4 linked regions of the Schizosaccharomyces pombe genome follow. The gene in region 3 interacts genetically with the main gene of each other region. Each region holds a gene or a part of one and is shown on either strand. Other genes may lie near its edges. The genes, in order: pet801, SPOM_SPBPB2B2.14C, bmt2 and mgr3.

Region 1 (5,086 bases), 4.2 Mb from region 3:
TTGGATGCATCCCGTCCTATTTCTGCTACAGTCGAGGAGACCAGTAAGCTTTATGAAGTGTTGGCTCAAGTCGAAAATGGAATTCAACAGTCCTTCAACGTTGAACTTTCTTCACTTAATGACAAAAAGTTTAAAGAATTGCGTCGTCAACTTCCAGTCACTCGCCAGAAAATTAATTGGGAAAACGTTAGTGGCATCCGTATGAGAAATACTTGAAACACTTATATGTGTTTATAAATTTTGGAAATTTTTTTGCGACGATATTTTTTAAGACGGTGATTCAAGCTGTTTCCTTTTCCTTCTTCCTAAATACATATACATTGTCGCTCGATATACGACTAATAATTACTAGTCGTTTACTTTCTAAAACTTTACAAGAGCAACTCACACGCTCTTTTCTTAAACTCTTATAAGTTTTAGGAAATTATTTTTTTACGATCAATAATACAAGTTCTTCATCATTTTTTTACCGCTCGTCACCAGTAATTTAAGGGCGTATTACTTTTTGTGTGTAAGCATCAGTCGTGCTATTTATCACCAGAATATGCTCTGAGCATCTGACTTTCACCTCTGACTTTGTGATAATATAAATAAATAATGAGGCATTATTAAATCACAAATCTTGTATCTCTAATTAACATTGATTTCATGGTTCAAGCAGCAATTAAAGCTTGAACTTGTGTAGACAGTTTGAGATAATATCACTTCTAAAATTAAACCCAAAAGTAGGTATTCCAACTAACTTATCGTTTTCTTCCGACAAGACTGGAATAGTAAACCTGATATGGCCCGGAACTTGTATACAAAATTTAAGAAACTCTTCCTTACTCAAAAATCCCTTCAATGAATTTAGATCTTTGGAAAGCAACGGTCTAAGTATAAGTGTAGTCTGTGTATTTTTGCAACTGTACTTTATCCAAAACCTGTGATCCCATAAAACATAACGATCAGGATTTATGGTTATAGTTTTTTTTTTCAATTCAGCTTTACTAAATGGTTGTCTGGAAATTTGGAGTTGTAATTTAGTGTCGTCCTTTATAGAAGAGGAAGTGAGTAGACATTTAGCAATTGTTAGCTTTTTTCCATCAAAAACTGAATTACAAAGGCTTACAACAGAAGATCGTTTAATCTGTCTGCAACTTGTAGTCAATGTTAGACACCTTAAGAGCAATTCTTCCTTAGTAAGATTAGAGTGCTTTTTGAGCTCATTTTTTGAAAAGCATAAAGATAATGTACCAGATGGCTGATGGTAGCTCACAATATTATCTTTTAGTATTTCATCAACTTTATTATCTATGTTCACCTGTAAGGACTGAAACGCGGTAGCTAGTTTTGTAGCCTCTACGGTCAATGCGGCATGTTGGTTTAGAAATCTTCGTATTGCATTTCGAGGGGTGAGATTTATATCAGCATTTGTTGGATCCTCTTCCCAAGCAATTCCATGTTGTTTTGCGGTATTTAATATTTGGTTCTTCAATTCATAGGTTAGCATAAAAGTTTAATCCACAATGCGAATTTAATTTATATTACCTTATAATATGGAAGTAATGGGCGTAACAGTTCTATATTTGAAGCCCCACAAATTGAGTCAGATTCTGGTATCTGCGATACTGGTTTCATTGCACACAATCCACCCCATGTTCCGGGTTTACGTCTTAGCAATCTCATAAATATGGTTTCTGCTTGATCATTGGCATGATGTGCTGTGCAAATATGCCTGATATTGTGTGTAATACAAGCTCTAGTCAAAACTTGATATCGATGCTCTCGAGCTATTGTCTCAAGGTTTGTTAAAGAGTGAACATCATCATTACCCCAATTGATGTTGAGATAAACATTTGGTATTAACATACGATTCAAATTCCAGATTGTTTGTAAAGCCTCTTCAGTGCTATTCTTACGAATTCGATGATCAACCACAAAGGCAATAAATTGATTAGGCCATCCAAACATAATTTGCGATTCCTTCATGAACCAAGAAAGTAGCATGCTGTCCACTCCCCCAGACACAGCTATCCCTAACTTATTAGTCTTAATTATGATACAATACAAAGTGTTCATACCAAGCCGCCTGTGACCAACCCTTCGTCGTATACTAACAAGACTGTTATAGAATTCTTTCAATTTGATAGTATCCATTGATTTTGAGTTTTTCTAATCATATAAACATTCATGCAACACAGAAAAGTCATTACATAAGGAAAGAATCCACTAAACCTTTGGTGACTTTTAAACAACAATAGCTATTATTGTAATTGTACTATCAAAATATTGAATTCATGCAACATATAAAAGAGTATTTATCGCTATAAATTCAAATCAAACATCAGATGATTTTTAACTATGTTTTTAGTAATTCGTTTTCCTTTTTATACTTGATGGTGAATGTGCAATGTAGAATCAAAGAAATTATGTATTGGAATATATGCTTGTACTGGGATGTATTTAGCAAATTAATTATATACAACAAAGTATGTCAATTTGGTAGAATTCATATTTTTCATGGTAAGAACCGACACCAACTTCTTAGAACGTGTCATTTCACTCCCTCAAAGCGCCATTCAGCAATGTCATTTTTTGAAGCTCTGGGTGTAAGAAACAAAACAAACATAAATAACTATAATGAGGACTAATCAAAAATTTCTAGGCAGGAATCTGTGCTGGATTGGCAGTTGATCTATCCTTGTTTCCTATTGATACACTTAAAACTAGACTACAAGCAAAAGGAGGATTTGTAAAAAATGGAGGGTTTCATGGTGTATATCGGGGATTAGGCAGTATACTAGTTGGCAGTGCCCCAGGAGGTATGAAAAAAAAGAAAGAAAGTAATCTAAATGTATGGTTTCTTTCTCTGGTCTTAACAAACGATAGACACTTATTAAATTACCTCTTATAATATATTACAAAGTTCACAAAGTGTATAATAAACTAACTCACTAACGCTACTAGCCTCTTTATTTTTTACTACTTATGAAAACATGAAATCCAGATTATCCCAGTCTGGCCTTGGACTATCAGATCCCCAAATTCATATGTGTTCAGCTTCTCTAGGTGAAATTGCGGCTTGTATAGTTCGAGTCCCTACAGAAGTAATTAAGCAAAGAGCACAAGCTTCTGGTGGAACATTATCATCTAGAAATATTTTGCAAACGATTTTAAAATCTAACAATGTCTGGCGCGATTTTTATGCTGGTTATGGAATCACTATTGCAAGGGAAATCCCTTTCACACTAATCCAATTCCCAATTTGGGAGCACCTGAAACTGAAATGGAGAATTAAACATTCTCGAAATAAGAATTTAGCTCATGAAGCAGCTATCTCGGGCTCCATTGCAGGTGGAATAGCCGCTGCTTTAACAACTCCATTTGATGTTGTTAAAACGAGAATTATGACATCTCAGCAGGTATGTGTTTGATTTTTTGATTAAACTAAAGAATTTTGCGCGTGAATCACTACCTTGATATACACTTTTGATACTAATTTGTTTAGCGACTTTCTTATGTGTTTACAATTAAATCGATAGTTGCCCATGAAGGCTTTCTTGCTCTTTACAAAGGTATAGTTCCTCGAGTCTTATGGTTAAGTGGAGGAGGTGCTATTTTCTTAGGCTGCTACGATGTCATATTGAATTTTATGAAAGCCGAAGGATTGTGATTGAAAAAACTAGTCATAATTTAGTTTTTAGTACTTTTTGGTTGCATACAAAAATAAAAGATAGAAAATACATTCCTTTGGCTAAGCCGCGTTTTATAGAAAGAATATCTTTAATTTCAACATTTTTTGGAAGGATTCCTTACTATAAAATATCAGTTGCAAAAAAAATTAAATCATTTTCTACTGAATTATCCACTTGATCAAATATTATAACGGTGTACTATAATGGAAGAAAAAATTGTGTTTAGCATTAATGAAGTGCTATTGTAGAATTGCTGAGCTATAAAAATGAACACATCTTGACATTACTGTATGCTCGATGTATTTGGAATCAATAAATGATGAAACAATGAAGTTTCAAACTAACTAGAGTTGTGTTTATACATAGTGCTCCATATAAGATCAAACATATCCACGAACGCTCAATAAATGTTTTATTGGTGTCTAACAAATTCTTCATGATTTGGAAACTTTATTTAGTTAAAATACTTAGCAATTTATGGTGAGACATCCATCCAATCTCAAATTTTTTCTCTATTCGTAAATACTTCTGTTTAAGCAACTAGACGAATTTTGGTTTCAAACTTCTACAACGCAATTCTAAAGTGAAGATTTCCTTGAAACGCTTATCTACTATTTGTTGATTGGGTGTTCCATACCGATTGAAATTTACTTTTCTGATATATTTAAATGGAAAAACCATTGCCTAATCCGCCTATTCAAGAAAGTTTACGAAAGCAATCCCCCCAAGACGCTGTTTACGATGATTTGGTTTTTGGTTTAAAACGTTATGAAGCGGCTTTCTCAATTAAAGACAGTATTGAAGATGTTCTAGCAAATTTTTCTAAAGACGAGGAAAAGGAAATGGTTTGTCTCAGTACGTCGATTGCAGAAAATCCTTATCAATCGCTTTCATTAGAATCTGTTCCATCCAAAATACTATTTGGATCATTTTTATTTTATGTAAAGGATCGAATCCCGGAGAAAGCTGGTTATATAATTGAAGAGCAGTTCTGTAAACGACTTCAACAAATCGATTACGATGCTTATTCTTTCTCACCAAAAGAGTGTAATGAAAAATTAAAAAATATTTTCTCTGAATTCTCTCAAATGAAGCTAAAAATGTTGTCTGTTTTTTTCTCGATTGTACAAATTTTGCTTCCTAAACTCAGTGGAGATTATCAGGAACATGTCCAATTTTTTGCTTCTATATCGGCTGTCGTAGCACCGAGGGGTTATGTTTTTGAAATCTATCATGCAGTTGAACATTTATCTCTTGAAGCTAGGGAAGTTTTTCAGCTGCACCATCCTCCTTCCCCAAAACAAACAAGGCGGGTCGTTTCTGAAGGACCTCTTAATGGCGTAAACTACAAGCAAAACACTACTAACAACAGAGTCTCTTCTTTTCAAAATTCTCAATACTCTACGCTA
Region 2 (4,395 bases), on a different chromosome or scaffold from region 3:
TCTTCCATTACATTATTGAATTTGAATAACGAGGCTAAAACAAACAAATGAAAATCTGCTAATTCACGAAATGGTACTGGTTCCATTAGATAAGGAAAAATTCGAAAAAAAATTATGTTTCTTCAGTCGTAGTATGCCTACTGGATTATCATTAGCAATATGAGTAGCTTTTATCCCGTTTATTATATTATAAACGATTCGGATTCCTATCGATTTATTCTAAAATAAAATACCCGTCAGTTATTTACTTGGATTTTAACTTAGAAGCCAAAAAACGAATCTTCAACCAGACTGAACTGGAAAACATTAATTAAAGAGATTCTCGGTTGTAGATAGTTGTAATTGTTTCTGTTTCTGTTCTGAAAACTTGTTAATATAGTAATCCCCCACTCTTTTTCCATATTTAGTCTTTGAAGAAAGCGAAGCAATTCTTATACTACTCGTCTTTAACGAGTTGCATATATACCGCTCTATTTTTTTGCAGTTTCCTTTAAAAAATCTCATTAGAATGTTTCAATGCATACTTAATAAATCAATTTTATCAAATGCTTTGTTGTGAATATATTCTTAAAACTCATTCATTTCTTGTAAAGAAATCTTTCTTTATATGAAATTTGAAATATTCGAAATTTCATCTTTATAACTAGGTATTTCTCAATACTTTTACATAAATTAAGAAGGGAAAAAATTTGGGTTTCCTTTTTAAATCAGTTAGAGGCGAAACCTCTAACGCTTTTCATGGCTTCGTGTTAAATGTGTAATTATTTTTAAGAAGAAATACAAACACAATTAACAGATGTTGCATAACATTACTTTAGATTTGAATTTCACCTCTTAGATATCATCCATTCACATGTCAAGTAGGTGCAGTTTGTGGTTAACATATATTATTACATCTGTATTTAACCAAGTCTAGAGCAAAGAAGATATTTTCAAAATGCTGGAAGGAGAAATTTAGAATGTATGACTTACCTTGTGAAACCCTAGTATATTACGTTTTCGTAGTAAAACTAGTAGCAGGTGAAATTTTAGAGTAGTTTGTTGACGAATGTTTGTTTCAATTTTATCGCTTAAAAATTAAATTTGTTTTAGATTCATCTATTTCCATTATATTTTTTCTTTTTTGTAACATTATTCAAGTAAGGTTATGTGTATCAAAACAATAACTTCTGACTAACTACTCGAATAACAACCAAGTATTCCACTATGATTTTTAATGATGAGCCAATATTCAAGATTGATATAATTTCCAAGAGATGTTTACAAATTCCAGTTTATAATTCCCTTACGCTTTTCTTCCTCTGTATCTCTTGAAAGCCCGTTCTACTGCATTTGCTAAAAATGCAATAAATGTATGAAAGTTAAACTCAATAATCAAAGTCTTTATGTAGTATTACAGTTATGAATTATTGCGACATTTCATCTTCAGCCTTACTCAAAATCTGAAGGATTCAACATATGGCAATTTATTTGTTTTTATCATGGGAAGCACTAACGATCAAAACATCAATAGACCATAAATCATCATTTCTATATGAAAATGTAATATAACTTCTAATACAGGAATTCCTTCTTATACATTTATTTGTAACATTGCTTCATGCTTTTTTCCCTTTCATTTTCAGTTTTCTTTTGTTCCCAAATCCCAGAGCCATAATTTAAAGAAAATATGAACTGGCTAAGCGGAACCAAAGTTTTCAGTACAATTGATCTAAAAGAGTTAGTCCGATGTATAGACTTAGTCGTTGATTCCTATTCTTTACTTTTTCGCAAGAGAATAAAATTTAGGTAGCGAACGATGTTGTAATTACATACGAATATAAATTTTTCAACGAGATTTTTTTTTATTTTTATTTTTATTTTTACAATTTTAACACAAACAAATCTATAGTCTTCCATTTCTTTTTATTTACTTTCGCAAATACTCACACCTTAAACATGATTTTTCGTGTCAACTATACTTAACTATATGCTTTATAATGCTGCTACGTAGTTAGGTTGTTCATGTTTATAGCTATTGTATGCGTACGATGTTTTCAACTATTATTTTATAAAATCAGCACACTATAGATCGAGTTTGATTGTACTACCATACATTATTATCATTATCAATGTGTCGTTAATAATCCTGTATACTTGCAACCGTGATGATGAACAATCCAACATAATTATTTACACACAAATCATAAGAACATGATTTTCATTGCAATTTATGGTATCCTTAACACTATTTACAGACTTTGAAGGGAACCGTATATTAATGCAAACTAAACCAACTTCGTTATATAGGAATTGCGATAAAAAAAGTTTGTAAGTATTACAAGATATTCACATCATAATGTTTTTCCCAAATAAATGAAACATCTCAGAACGTAAAACATTCACCAATTTTGATCTTTTTTTAATTCTTTCGTTTATGGCTTTAAAATGTTTTATTATATTTTCTTATTATCTTCCATAAACCACACTGTTTAATTTTACATTGTAAAACATTACTAGTGGTGCTAAAGCTATCAAATTGCAGTGCTGTGGTTTTATTCCAATGTCAAATCCAGAAAGCGCAAAAAAACAGGTTGACCCCCCCTGGTTACAATGAGTTATTTATGGTAAGAGATACTCGTAATGTGGACCTGGAGTGGGGACTTGAATTGTGTAAGCCTGAAAAGGTAAACAAACAAAATCTCTTTACCAACATCATCAAGCCTCAAAAAGATAAAATAAACATTAAGACAGATAAAATAAAGTTCTTTTTAGATAACCTTTTTACTGAATTTTCTAAATTTCATGATAGTTGTTATCCTGATGGTAGGATTTCTACCCGCAGTAAACTTCGTTGGCCCTTGCTTATTATTTGGTGTATTTTGATTGTTTTCGCAATAGACAAGAACTTTGAAGTCAAAGATTTTCTTTCAATTTGGATAAATGAAAGTTTTATAAATGAAAATCGGTTTTACAGTGAAATTTGGGGGCCTATTGCTATTTACATTTGTTTGTTTGTTTTATTGTTGCTTGGTTTAATTTGTATGTTTCCTTTACAGTGATGCCTTTTTTTTACTAATAATTTAAAATAGACTGCTCCAAGATTGTTGTAAAAGCTATACCATTGATCAGTATAGTTATAGCAGCGGTCGTAGTAATTATCGCGGTGGCTATGGTTAAAATTTTATACATCTGCCATTGGCTGATCTACAAAATTTTAATTTTGGCTTTCGGCATAAAAGTTAAGCCATTGGGAGACACTCTTCCTACACATAATGGAGAAACAGGATCACATTCAAAGGCAACAGTTGGTTCTGACATTGAACAAATAGAATTTCAAAATATGCCCACTCCTGTGAAAAAATAATTTTCTTTATCGTTTTATGATCGAAAAGAATATAATCATCCTTACCAATATTTTACTGACTGTACCGTCCTAATCATGCACTAAAGGTGCGTCTGTTATGAATTTCAATTATGGAGTCAACCTAATTACGGTTTTTAATGAAGTATTATCACTTGATGTTACTAATGTTTTATCTTTCGTTTCAAGTCTAATCAAATACTATGAATGTCATTTACTGCGTCACAAAATGAATTCTTAATGATACATCATGAATGACTCGTTTTTAAAGTTATGTCTGAAAACTTGAAAAATGCAGCATATGGAAATTGTTAGATCGATTGATTCATTAGCTCAATAAATTCTTAAATTGCAAATTATATTCTGGCAGCAAAAAATCGAGTTATTCAGAGTCTTTCAAAAACTCTGTTTACGTATTGACATACACATTAGACTTAGCTTTTCAACAATTTATACCGCTACTTGTCGGTATCTCCTTCACCTGAAAAAGTAAATTTGTCTAATAAATTGACATGCAAACGAAGCTTTAATGTTTGATTTCTTAACCCCAATCGAATAGACAATAGCTATTTATGAAAAAAATAAATTTTAAGCTAAAAGTAAGTATGGGTTGACGATGATGTAGAATGCATGTGATTTGAAGAAATATAATTGAAAACAAAAAAAATTTACACAAGAATTCGCATCTTTTAACTACTGTACTTAATTACAGGTGATTCCCAAAATGTCTGAGCCGCTTCATCATTACTTACTGTCACATCATTATAATTATTCAGTATTAAATATGCAAGCGCTACAATTTTATTGCTTTTATGTTTGTGAAACCGTTGTTATAATTTAAAATTAACAGAAACACAACAAATATATTTGATTGTAATAAAAGTCTTTAACAATTAAGCAAGTGTTAAGTATCCGGTATGAGATTTATGATGGAAGTTGATAAAAAAGTTAAGTATAGCACGATTAACACATTTTACAATAGAATGTTATAAAAGTTCATATTGAGCTACAAGTTCCCAAAAAAAAGCAATCTAAAGTAAGATATATTTACA
Region 3 (4,886 bases):
CTTCTTCGTGTTGAACAAAAGCTTGAGAATATAAAGTAATAACAAGAAATATAATAGATCCACCAACGCAACTCATTGTAGCAGCAGCAGTACCAATTAATCCGACATTAACAAATACTATGGGTAAAGCTATTATAAATTAGCATAAAGGTCTCATTCAGTTATAAATACATACCAAACCCGGTACAGATGGTTGCACCGAATGTAAATCGACCAAAGTCAAGAAGATTTCTTTAGTAAACGTTAGTAGAGCTCCTTACAAATAATAATGAAAAATAACAATTATGGTTGAAATAATTTCCCCAGAACAACCAACATTATTATATTTCCATACCTGTCTTCCTCTTGTAAAAAGTCATGGCTTGTCGAGTATTTTTTCGTAAGGAGATTAGGAAGAGGAGCTAAAATGAATGGAATGACTATTCATTAGTAATTCGTAAGCAATGTAAATGAAATAGTTCTCAACGGTTGACAAAATCATACCAATTAGCAGTGGATACCAATTCTTGAATAAAGCACAAGACAGGATCACCAGCATAAATCCTACTGCCAGGACCTTAATAATATAAGTTAGACTCGTTTAAAATGGAATTGATGTCTAGCTCGAGTAGGAGTCATTGAGCGATGCATACCGAAGAAAGACCGATAATTCTAATTGGTGACAAACGTTAACCTTTGCTTTTTCATATTAACAAAAATTACTTACTTCCTGAGGTCGGACATATTTAATTACTATCGTTCACGAATATATACTGCAAGCTAAAGTTTACTGCTTTTGAGAAGAGAGACTTCGATGATTACCAGCTACTTCACCTAAAAAGGGTACGCTCCATTACGTTATACAGATGTGTTCTGTATGCATAGAACACAGAGCGGTGCACAAGATTTGTAAACTTGGCAAATAAGTTTAAAAAGACATATAACGAAAATGACTTGTTACTATTTTTTACACCAATGATCGAGCTTTCGGCTCATTAGTAAAGTATCGCATACGAACAAACTCTGAAAAACGTACTTTGTAGCTACGTAAGTAAAGGCTAGTAATTGACATTAACAATACAATTAAAAAAAAGCAAGAGGATAACCGACAAAAAGCATTCATTTCATTAATTTAACTTTGAGATACTAGTAAAATAAATTTTGTATTGACAAATATCTTAATTAGAGTATACAGGGAATGAAGAAATTATTCCTAGTTGCCCCATCATTAACGATCTTCTTTTTCCAGTCTATTTCTTTCATAGGAAAACACTCGTAAGAATATAAATAGTAGGCTATTTTTTTCGATATAGACTTTTGACGACAGATAAATCCAAACTGTATCATAATTGAGTGTAATGTTTTTTCATCCATGTACCGAGAATTTGTTATGCAAGGCGAAGGCAAAACCAAAAATAACCAAGGAGGCTGTTCTTTATTAGGAGGCATTAACAATCCTGTACAATGTAATAACATTTTAGCTCGGAGTTCTGGAGGTGCAAAATTCAGCACAAGTGAACAACTTATCCCAGTAAAAAGTCCTTCTTCAGGAGTTCTTTCAAGAAAGTCCTGTTGTTTAATCAAGGGATGAACAGAATGCAAATCAATCCTTGAAACTCGGAAAAGTCCACAAGTTGAACATTTGTTGTCAACAGAAACACTGCCAATTTCCAACAAATCTTTCGGCTCCTTAAGACGTGCGCAATACGAAAAACAGGGAGTTGTCCGAATCCATTTTATCAATATTTTACTTGAATCCCCTCCTTTTCCTTCCGCTTGACCGGATCGACTAGCTCGTTGGTAAGCATCAATACCTATATTTTCGAGTTCACTTTCCACATTTTTTATTTTTTCAATCGGAGCACTTGACGCAATAAGTCGAGATTTCTCTTTTAACAGGTTATGATAATGACGAATAAGCTTATTCCCCTTCAGTCCCTTTGCATTATCAATGTTGTTTTTTCCAATGCGATTCTTCACTGGAATGGGACGCATTCAAATAGTGATAAAATATTTGTTAATCTCCCAGATGAAAATATAATTGTATTTACAGTAAATGGTTCATAAATGTAGTTTCCTAATTACTTGAAAAGTTTTTACGATGAAAGAAGTAGTGTCGCGTTACTTATAAAAATTCAGCACAAGAAGAGCTTGGACAATGTATGATAAATTCTTAATATGTAATTAAAGAGCGGTAATTTATGCAACCCTTTAACCATTACACAGAATATTAAACGGGTTTCCTTTTTTTATACGGTTTGTACTTTACAAGCACAAATCAACTTTTTTTATATTTGAAACAAAAATTTAAAGGCTTTGGGCTTCGAGGGGGATCGAACCCCTGACCACTTCGACCCAAACGAAGTATGCTACCACTACACCACGAAGCCTCAGTTGATATTGTGCTTTGAAAACTGTATATATAGTTATTAGATTTACTTGATTATTAACTAAACTTTTTCAATTGTTTTTAAAAAATAATCAAAATAAAGAAAACAACCGCCAAATATGGTAGAACTATAACATAAAAAAATTCGGATAAATAAACAGCCAATATCAACTTCTCTCTTAAATTGTTTTAAATGATTCCACTCATCAGTTACGTTACGATATAATTGATATAAGTTATTTTTAAAAGAAAGTAATAAATGTGTATAAATATGTATATACGACAGCTATTGAAAAGTATTTTGGTAAATTCTAAACTAACGATTTATATCTAGTGGAATTGGATAAGGGACTTTATTTATTATTTCTTAAATAAAATACATTTTAAAAAATAAAAAAAAATAAAAAAAGAAAAGAAAAGAATTTGGTGTACTACGGATTACCTTAAGTTTTTAAGTTAAACGGGTGAAGTGTAAGTATTTATGATATGAAAACCATAGAAACATTTTTGTATTTTTACTACTTACAGACGAATTCTAATTGTTTCACCAGACTATATACTATTAAAACAAATAAGTGCTTCAAAAATAATTATTGTAGATTAAATTTTCTTGATAACTCAAACTTGAGTAAATTAATTTTTTAGAGTATATGTTAAAAAAATAAATACTTTTAGTTTAATTAAACGTACAAAAAGTGTTAACAAACATTATGTACCTGTAAACAAAATGTAATAATTAAATATAAATAATATTTGTAACTGCGGCTGCTATCGCATTGGATGGGGGACTGATTGTTGTACATTTCAGCTAAACTTATTTTTACAAGTTACTTTATTTACTGACACAATAAATTGCGTGTTTTTTTTGGATTACTATAGAAAAAACACATACGTTAGCACTGGAATATTATTATTTAGCTATAAAAGTCGCAAGAGACAAGTATGACAATTTAAAGACAAAGTATAAAATGCATATTACCTAAATTCTTCAGCATTTGAGCTATACTGCATGGCATCAAGATTAAACAATTTAAAAGTTAGCCGTCATTGTAGAAAATATAACTACAGAAATTCTATTATCCCTGAAAATCCAGAGCATCACCAAATTTTATTATGTATCTTCTATTTACTTATAGGTAAAAACAAAACATTTACAGCGTTACAACTTTCCAAATAGTGAGGCGCAGTGAAGCCGTTTCCAAGTATTACAGAGTTTACGCAAGCATTCAGTATATTGGCACAAATGAGACGTAACGGAATGTTAGTGATACAACATCCCGTAACAAAACTTTGTTGGTAAAATCCAACCATTGCATAACGACTTTAGCCTTTTAAAAAGCTTTTTGTGTTTGTAGTCCTTTACTGGTAGTCGTTACGAAAGTATCTAGTCACTGTGGTACTTAACATTGAATTTTCATATAGCTACAGCACCTCGCTTTCTTTCACATTTCGAGTATTAGTCCTACGTCTTTCCTATACTTATGTTATTAAGTCGTTTTTAAGGGGAAGCTAGGTTTTGTATTTAATTTAAAAATTTTATATAGAAGTGGAATATGAGTTCGTTGGAAATCATTGTCGACAAAATTTTAAAATTCCTGGAAAAGCAGCCAAAACCTGAAGGTCGTCCTTTTATTCTTGGAATTTCCGGCCCTCAAGGATCTGGTAAAAGCACACTGGCAAGTGCTTTAGATACCGAATTAACAAGGAAGAACGAATCAGTTGTGAAGTTCTCACTTGACGACTTTTACCTCACGCACGCAGAACAAGTTGAATTGGCCAAAAATAATCCCAATAATCCTCTTGTTCAACATCGTGGTTTAGCTGGAACCCATGATGTCACATTTTTAAATAATGTTTTAAATGCATTTGTTAAGGGAAGCGATGAGGAGGTATCTATCCCTTTTTACGATAAATCCAAGTTTGGTGGCTACGGAGATAGGGGAGATGAATCCCAATGGAAAAAGGCAAATCCTAAAACAACTACCTATGTAATTTTTGAAGGATGGATGGTTGGGTTTGAGCCGCTCGATTCTTGCATGCTGTCTGTCCGAGCACGATCAACACGTTGGCAAAATATTGAAGGAAGTTTACTGTGGGTAAACAGAAAGCTTGCAGATTATCAGCCTATCTTTCAAAAAATTGACTCTTTGGTGGAACTAGAGGCACAAGAGATAAACTATGTTTACAGATGGAGACTGCAGCAAGAGCATGCTTTGAAAGCTCGGATCCACAAGGGTATGAGTGATGAAGAAGTCATTGAATTTGTTAATCATTATATGCCCCAATATGTCTTTTATCTTGGTACCTTATCTAATAAAGTACATCTGAATCCACACTGTTTGGAAATCATACTTGATGAGAACCGATATCCTGTTGTTATGCATTGATGTATTTGTCTAAGATTTAAATCCCATGATTGTATAGCGTTCCTGTACTTTGGAATACTTTTTACGCTCCCCCCTTTCCTTGAACAAAGTTTTTACCTCTACTTTTTCTTTAATTCCAACTTTCTTTTGAA
Region 4 (5,154 bases), 1.2 Mb from region 3:
CATATTTTCGGAATTCATTGATTCCAATTCAGACCAAGAGAATAGTAAACCATCTGTTCTTGGGTAAAACGGATTAATATCAATCAACCAAGCACGATCTTTATGAATATATACGTCAAACACGACTATTTTCAAGTTAGTAAAATAAATAACTCCAAAGGACTAGTTCATAAGCACTTAAATATTAACTTACAATCAGGATCCGGGAATGTATCAAGTTTTTTAAGGAGATCTGATATCAATTTTTCATAGCAATCAATGTTTTCTTTCAAAAATTCGTAATAATTGTCATCACGCTGACAAAACGCTATCAATCTTTTACTTTTTACAAAACAACGAAATTCAGTTGACGCATGCATTGGAAACCATTCCTTTAAAACAAGTTCGAAAGAAAAATCTTTAGGTACTGAACCATCTGCATTATCGAAATCTTTGCAATCATCAAAAGCATGATTAAGATCATGGGCAACAAAGTCGGACGACTTCAGTAATAATAATACCTCTTCAGCTGTCGTGCATTTTAAAGAGCCTGTTGTAGTAATCCATAGAGCATCTTTAGGAGTTGACCAATTTAGCTTTGGAACTACTGCTCCACCTAGCTCTTTAATTGCTTTTTCAATTAATTGGATAGCTTCTCTCTCGGGATAATAGGCTGGCGCAGATTCCTCGTCTTCCTCACTATCAACCTCCTCTACAGTATTCATAGGCTGTTCAACATATATACTATCTTCATGCAAATACTTAAGTACTGTAGCTGGGATGGGCTTGATTACTTTAGCTTTAGGTGTCAATTTGCGAAACAAACTGTACCAGCTAGAAAACTGGCAATGAAGTACTTGATTCTTAGTAAGTATTAGAGTCATTTTCCGTATTCATCTATGGCACTGAAGTTAATATTTTGGTGTCCCCATAAAATATGCTTATATGTTGTGAATGAACAACCAAGCGCCAAGTGCACAAATAAACTAGTATCTAGAAAAATTTGAGTGGTAAACATTTTGGAGACACATATTTTCCATTTTTACTATAAATTATAATGAATTAAAATGATAACCAGAGCTTTGTAAATTCAGAAGTTGTAAAAAAAGTATTATGACAAACACCGACAAATAACGTGCAACCATTAATTGAAGAATTTACATAAGTGACTTACAAAAGTTTTAGCAAAAATTATGAAATTGAGAATACACAAATCATCCTAGTCTGTGGTTTTTCGGTTTAAGATAGTAGCAATGGCCGCATTGATTACATGTCTTATTTCCAAAGCCATTTGAAAAAAGCATGTTTAGATTTATCCACGATAATAAGATTTTTCTCTACATTCATGCTTGTACGTAAATTTAGTAAATATGTTTCGTAGACATACGATTACATTTAAGACTAATTTAGTAAATATTCAAAAAAAGTACGTAGCTAATCAGTAGGAGAGGAGGATTTATCCAATTTTTTAATGAAAGCATCTTTATCAAGACGATCAATAGCTATATGTGAAAGCATTGAACCATCATTGTATGGATCGTCTTTCCTCAATGCTTCAGAATTTTTATAATGCTTAAGAGCCAAATCGATGTTTCCTTGGCGCTCAGCGATTTGACCCAAAGTGTAGAAAGCAGCCGCACAACCAGCATGACACTCTTGATTACGATCCTTAGGGTAGGCGAAGTAGTAGGAGTCAACTGCCTTTTGAGACCAGGACTGTGATTGCTTCATAAGCGTTTCGTGATGTTTTTTGTCGACCGTTTCAGTCTGAGCTAAAAGACTGGTAGCCAAATTATTCATTAATATCAATCCGTGGCAGGAAGGATTTGCCATAGTAAGATTCAATGCTTCATGATAAAGCGGAACTGCATAAGATGGAGTTCCGGCTTGAAAATACAGAGTAGCCGATTGTTCAAATAGCCTACTCTTTTGCTCATCATCACCATTAAATTGTTTTGATAACAATGCTTTTACTATGAGGTCTGCTGCTTTGGTGGCATCCTTTTGTAAGCCAAGCGGTTCTGATAATTCGATTAGCTTGCTTGCAATCAAAACTCTTTGCTCAAGAAAGTCAGGAAGCTTTGAAGTCCTTTCTAGAATATCCCAGTACATAGACCAGGCTTTGTGCAACGCTCCTGCAGATGCTAACAAATTCGCCATTTGCAAACGGATTCCTTGAACCGGAGGAGATTCCATATCCATTTTCTCACTCTCGGCTTGTTTAATGGCAGACTGGTAAGCCTTCCAGGCGTCCTGAAAGTCGTGATTATTTTCTCCCTTCTGTCGATATAATGCTTCATGTAAATACTTAGCCACGGACCTGGGATAATTTTCATCAATTGGAGAAGGTTTGGCAAAATAAACAGCAGCGACTCCTAAAACCGCGCAGCCCAGCAGGGTTGCCGGCAATGGTCTTCGCCAAAATGGCTTATGGTATTGAGATGAGCGACGTATAAAGACGTTTTGCAAAGAGCGTCTACTTTTCCAAATCCATTGCATACGCATACTTTTTTTTAATCGTATACAAACAAATTAACTAATACTATAATTTCCGATATTAGTAGTTTATGTCAACATAGAAAGCATGGAAGGGTCAAACCACTAATGTTTAGCCTCACTAAATCTTTGGAGCAAAATATAATGAGCGGTGTTAGTTACTTTTGTATACCAGCGATACCTATCTTGGATAATAATAAACATTATATGTCAAATTGCAAAAAACAATGACACCACCGACTTATTTTATTAGTGTCTTTTATGGTAGTAGTAGTAAAAGATTCCATGCTCCTTAAACTGTTGTTTACAAATGCACTTAGTATCACTGCTGAATGAACACAATATATTGTTGTTAAATTAGTTCATAACTACGAATTAAAATACGATCTTAACAGCAATTGAATCTAATTACACACAAACGAAACGTTAAAAGATATTTACTATTAAAACAAAGACAAAATATATATGAAACGAAGGAAAAACCAACGATTTATGCAGCATTAAGAAACTTAAGAGTATTTTTTTAAGGGACTTTCTCTTCCTTTTTTTTTAATTCTTTTGTTACATAAGACTTCACCATAATTTAGGACATGAACTCCAAGTAGAGTTTTCACGAGATTCCCAATAATTATTTTCCTTTTTTAATTGCCAAATTGGACCTGACCCATCTTCATCTTCGTCATCACCAGCAACAGATGGAACAAACCATCTAGGTTCCCATTTTATATCTTTCTCCTCCATTTCTTTCCTTCTTTCGCGTTGTTTTTGCTCCAGTTCCAATTTTAAAGGTTCTGCGTGATCGAGATCGTTGTTTTCTCTATAACGTTGATCAGGACGCAAACGGGTATCGGTTGGAGGCAATTTATCCTTTTCCAAATCTGTAATCTCATTCATTTGAGCAGCAAAAACAGTCATTCCGCAATGATCTTCAGGCTTGTCGACCAAAGGACCAACTTCCCAGATACGCTCGATTACATTGCCTTCATCTGTATTTACAAAATCGAGATGTGAGGTCCATTTCCCTTGCAAGCATTTAGGATCTTCTTCACCATTGGATCGTATAACTGTTACTAAAACATCTTCTGAACGTCCAGAAAACATACCTCCACTCTTGAAACGTATCACTGCCTTATCGCCTGTTGTCTCATCAACGATTTCCATATGATCGTAAGGCTCCACATATTTCTCACCGATCGCAACGTTTTTGAGGAAACAGGCTGGCTTCATAAAGCTGAATTCAGTACCACAAGCAAGCTTAATGGTGACTGGACCAAGAGTATTTAATTCAACAGACTTTCCCCAAAATTTTTGTATGGGTTTAGGCGAGTGGTTCCAAATCCAATTTCGACTTTCAGCATGACAAGCAATAATTAAAGGTCGATGACAGACTTTTTCAGCTAGAAAACGATAATTTCTGTCTTCCCGCACCAACTCAAAAGTTTCACCTAACAAGGGACTGAAAACCTTTCGAACACTTCTTTCTTTATGTCTCATATTGGAAAAATTTGAAACGGCAAAAGCAGCAACGTAAAATATTTTTATATCATCATCGCATTCATTAGCTTTGTCTAGCATGTTAGAGTATTCAAGATCTTCAGCACACCGTTGCAGTAAATTACAAGGCTCATTAGAAACAACGGGTGCAGGAATAGAACTGATATCTTTTCCAATGTTTTTTCGTAAAATTGATAGTATGCTTGGCGGTGGAACAGTAATAGCTGGTATATTCTTTCTTCTTCCAACTTTGGAATGCGGTAAAGGGTAAAGAGAGTTGGAATCGGAGGGTTTAGGGGTGAGAGGCTTAGGGATAGAAATAACGGCCCCGTCGGCGATGTTTTTAGAAACAGAAGGCTTTTGAACCTCTTCATCGCTTTTAGCATTGGCAAAACTGGAATCATCCGGTGATGAAGAATCCATTAAATCATGGAATGGCTGTTTTCTTTTGATATCGTTTTCTTTATTGCTTTCAACTTCGGGAAGAGGCGGTGACCGAGAAGACTCATCTACTGTTGAGGCGAGAGAAGTTGCATTCAACTGTTCATGTGGAGCTGAAGAGTTGGATGATGTATCGGAAATAGAAGAAGTGTCAGAATCACGATCTGCATCAAGGGAAGTGCTATTAGAAGAAGTTTTCATTATTGGAATATCGGAATCAGAGATGTCCTCCACCTTTTCATTATGAGCAACACTTGATTTAGTAGCATCAGCTGCGTGAGCACCCGACTCAGAATAGTGATTCAATTGAGAAGTTGTGCTTTCATAATCTTCAGCGTCGTACCAATGTTGCTCAAAATTGGAATCCATAGACATGCGTGACGAAGGAGAAGATTGCGCCGTACGTTCTTTAGTATATTCATGGTGTTGAATAAAGCATTCCAGTTCATGCAACAAAGACCCGAGTTGACGAGTAACCTTGCGTAAAGTAACCGCAGCTTGCGCGTTTTCAGCAGCAGTAATTTCCACTGAAGTACGGGTTTCCTTGTTTTCTTTGGCATCACCGGGAAGTTGTATACGGATCTCAGGGACAGAAAAATTATGACTTGAAGCCGATTTGATACGACTGGTGCGATACAATTGAGCAATATCCAGGCATTCACGTAGTCTTGAGTAAATAGAGACTAACTGATTGGATGACGATTCTTGTGTCCTTTCGTCTACTACGAGCTTTGAAGAAGTTTG

The links.
Region 1: mutations in bmt2 (region 3) and pet801 together harm fitness more than expected from each alone (negative genetic interaction), as found in Schizosaccharomyces pombe (one large-scale study listed by BioGRID).
Region 2: mutations in bmt2 (region 3) and SPOM_SPBPB2B2.14C together harm fitness more than expected from each alone (negative genetic interaction), as found in Schizosaccharomyces pombe (one large-scale study listed by BioGRID).
Region 4: mutations in bmt2 (region 3) and mgr3 together harm fitness more than expected from each alone (negative genetic interaction), as found in Schizosaccharomyces pombe (one large-scale study listed by BioGRID).

The regions. Positions count from the first base shown.
Region 1 is NC_003424.3:4,585,920-4,591,005, forward strand, and holds pet801 (putative S-adenosylmethionine transporter), read left to right. Parts: upstream 1-2,550; 5' UTR 2,551-2,567; coding exon 2,568-2,591; intron 2,592-2,647; coding exon 2,648-2,804; intron 2,805-2,949; coding exon 2,950-3,404; intron 3,405-3,490; coding exon 3,491-3,655; 3' UTR 3,656-3,874; downstream 3,875-5,086. Other genes in the region: acp1 (F-actin-capping protein alpha subunit), read left to right, coding at 1-216; til1 (tRNA(Ile)-lysidine synthetase family protein), read right to left, coding at 665-1,471, 1,531-2,018, 2,064-2,139; protein Nod1, read left to right, coding at 4,346-5,086.
Region 2 is NC_003423.3:4,491,531-4,495,925, reverse strand, and holds SPOM_SPBPB2B2.14C (uncharacterized protein), read left to right. Parts: upstream 1-2,603; coding exon 2,604-3,021; intron 3,022-3,071; coding exon 3,072-3,346; downstream 3,347-4,395.
Region 3 is NC_003424.3:362,638-367,523, reverse strand, and holds bmt2 (rRNA (adenine) methyltransferase Bmt2), read right to left. Parts: upstream 2,080-4,886; 5' UTR 1,975-2,079; coding exon 1,162-1,974; 3' UTR 1,082-1,161; downstream 1-1,081. Other genes in the region: protein Vps55, read right to left, coding at 1-129, 176-231, 335-419, 484-556, 633-651, 707-723; mug58 (glycerate kinase), read left to right, coding at 3,922-4,755.
Region 4 is NC_003424.3:1,608,894-1,614,047, reverse strand, and holds mgr3 (TPR repeat-containing protein), read right to left. Parts: upstream 2,552-5,154; 5' UTR 2,485-2,551; coding exon 1,414-2,484; 3' UTR 1,344-1,413; downstream 1-1,343. Other genes in the region: cdc123 (translation initiation factor eIF2 assembly protein), read right to left, coding at 1-125, 194-863; sterol transfer protein Osh3, read right to left, coding at 3,049-5,154.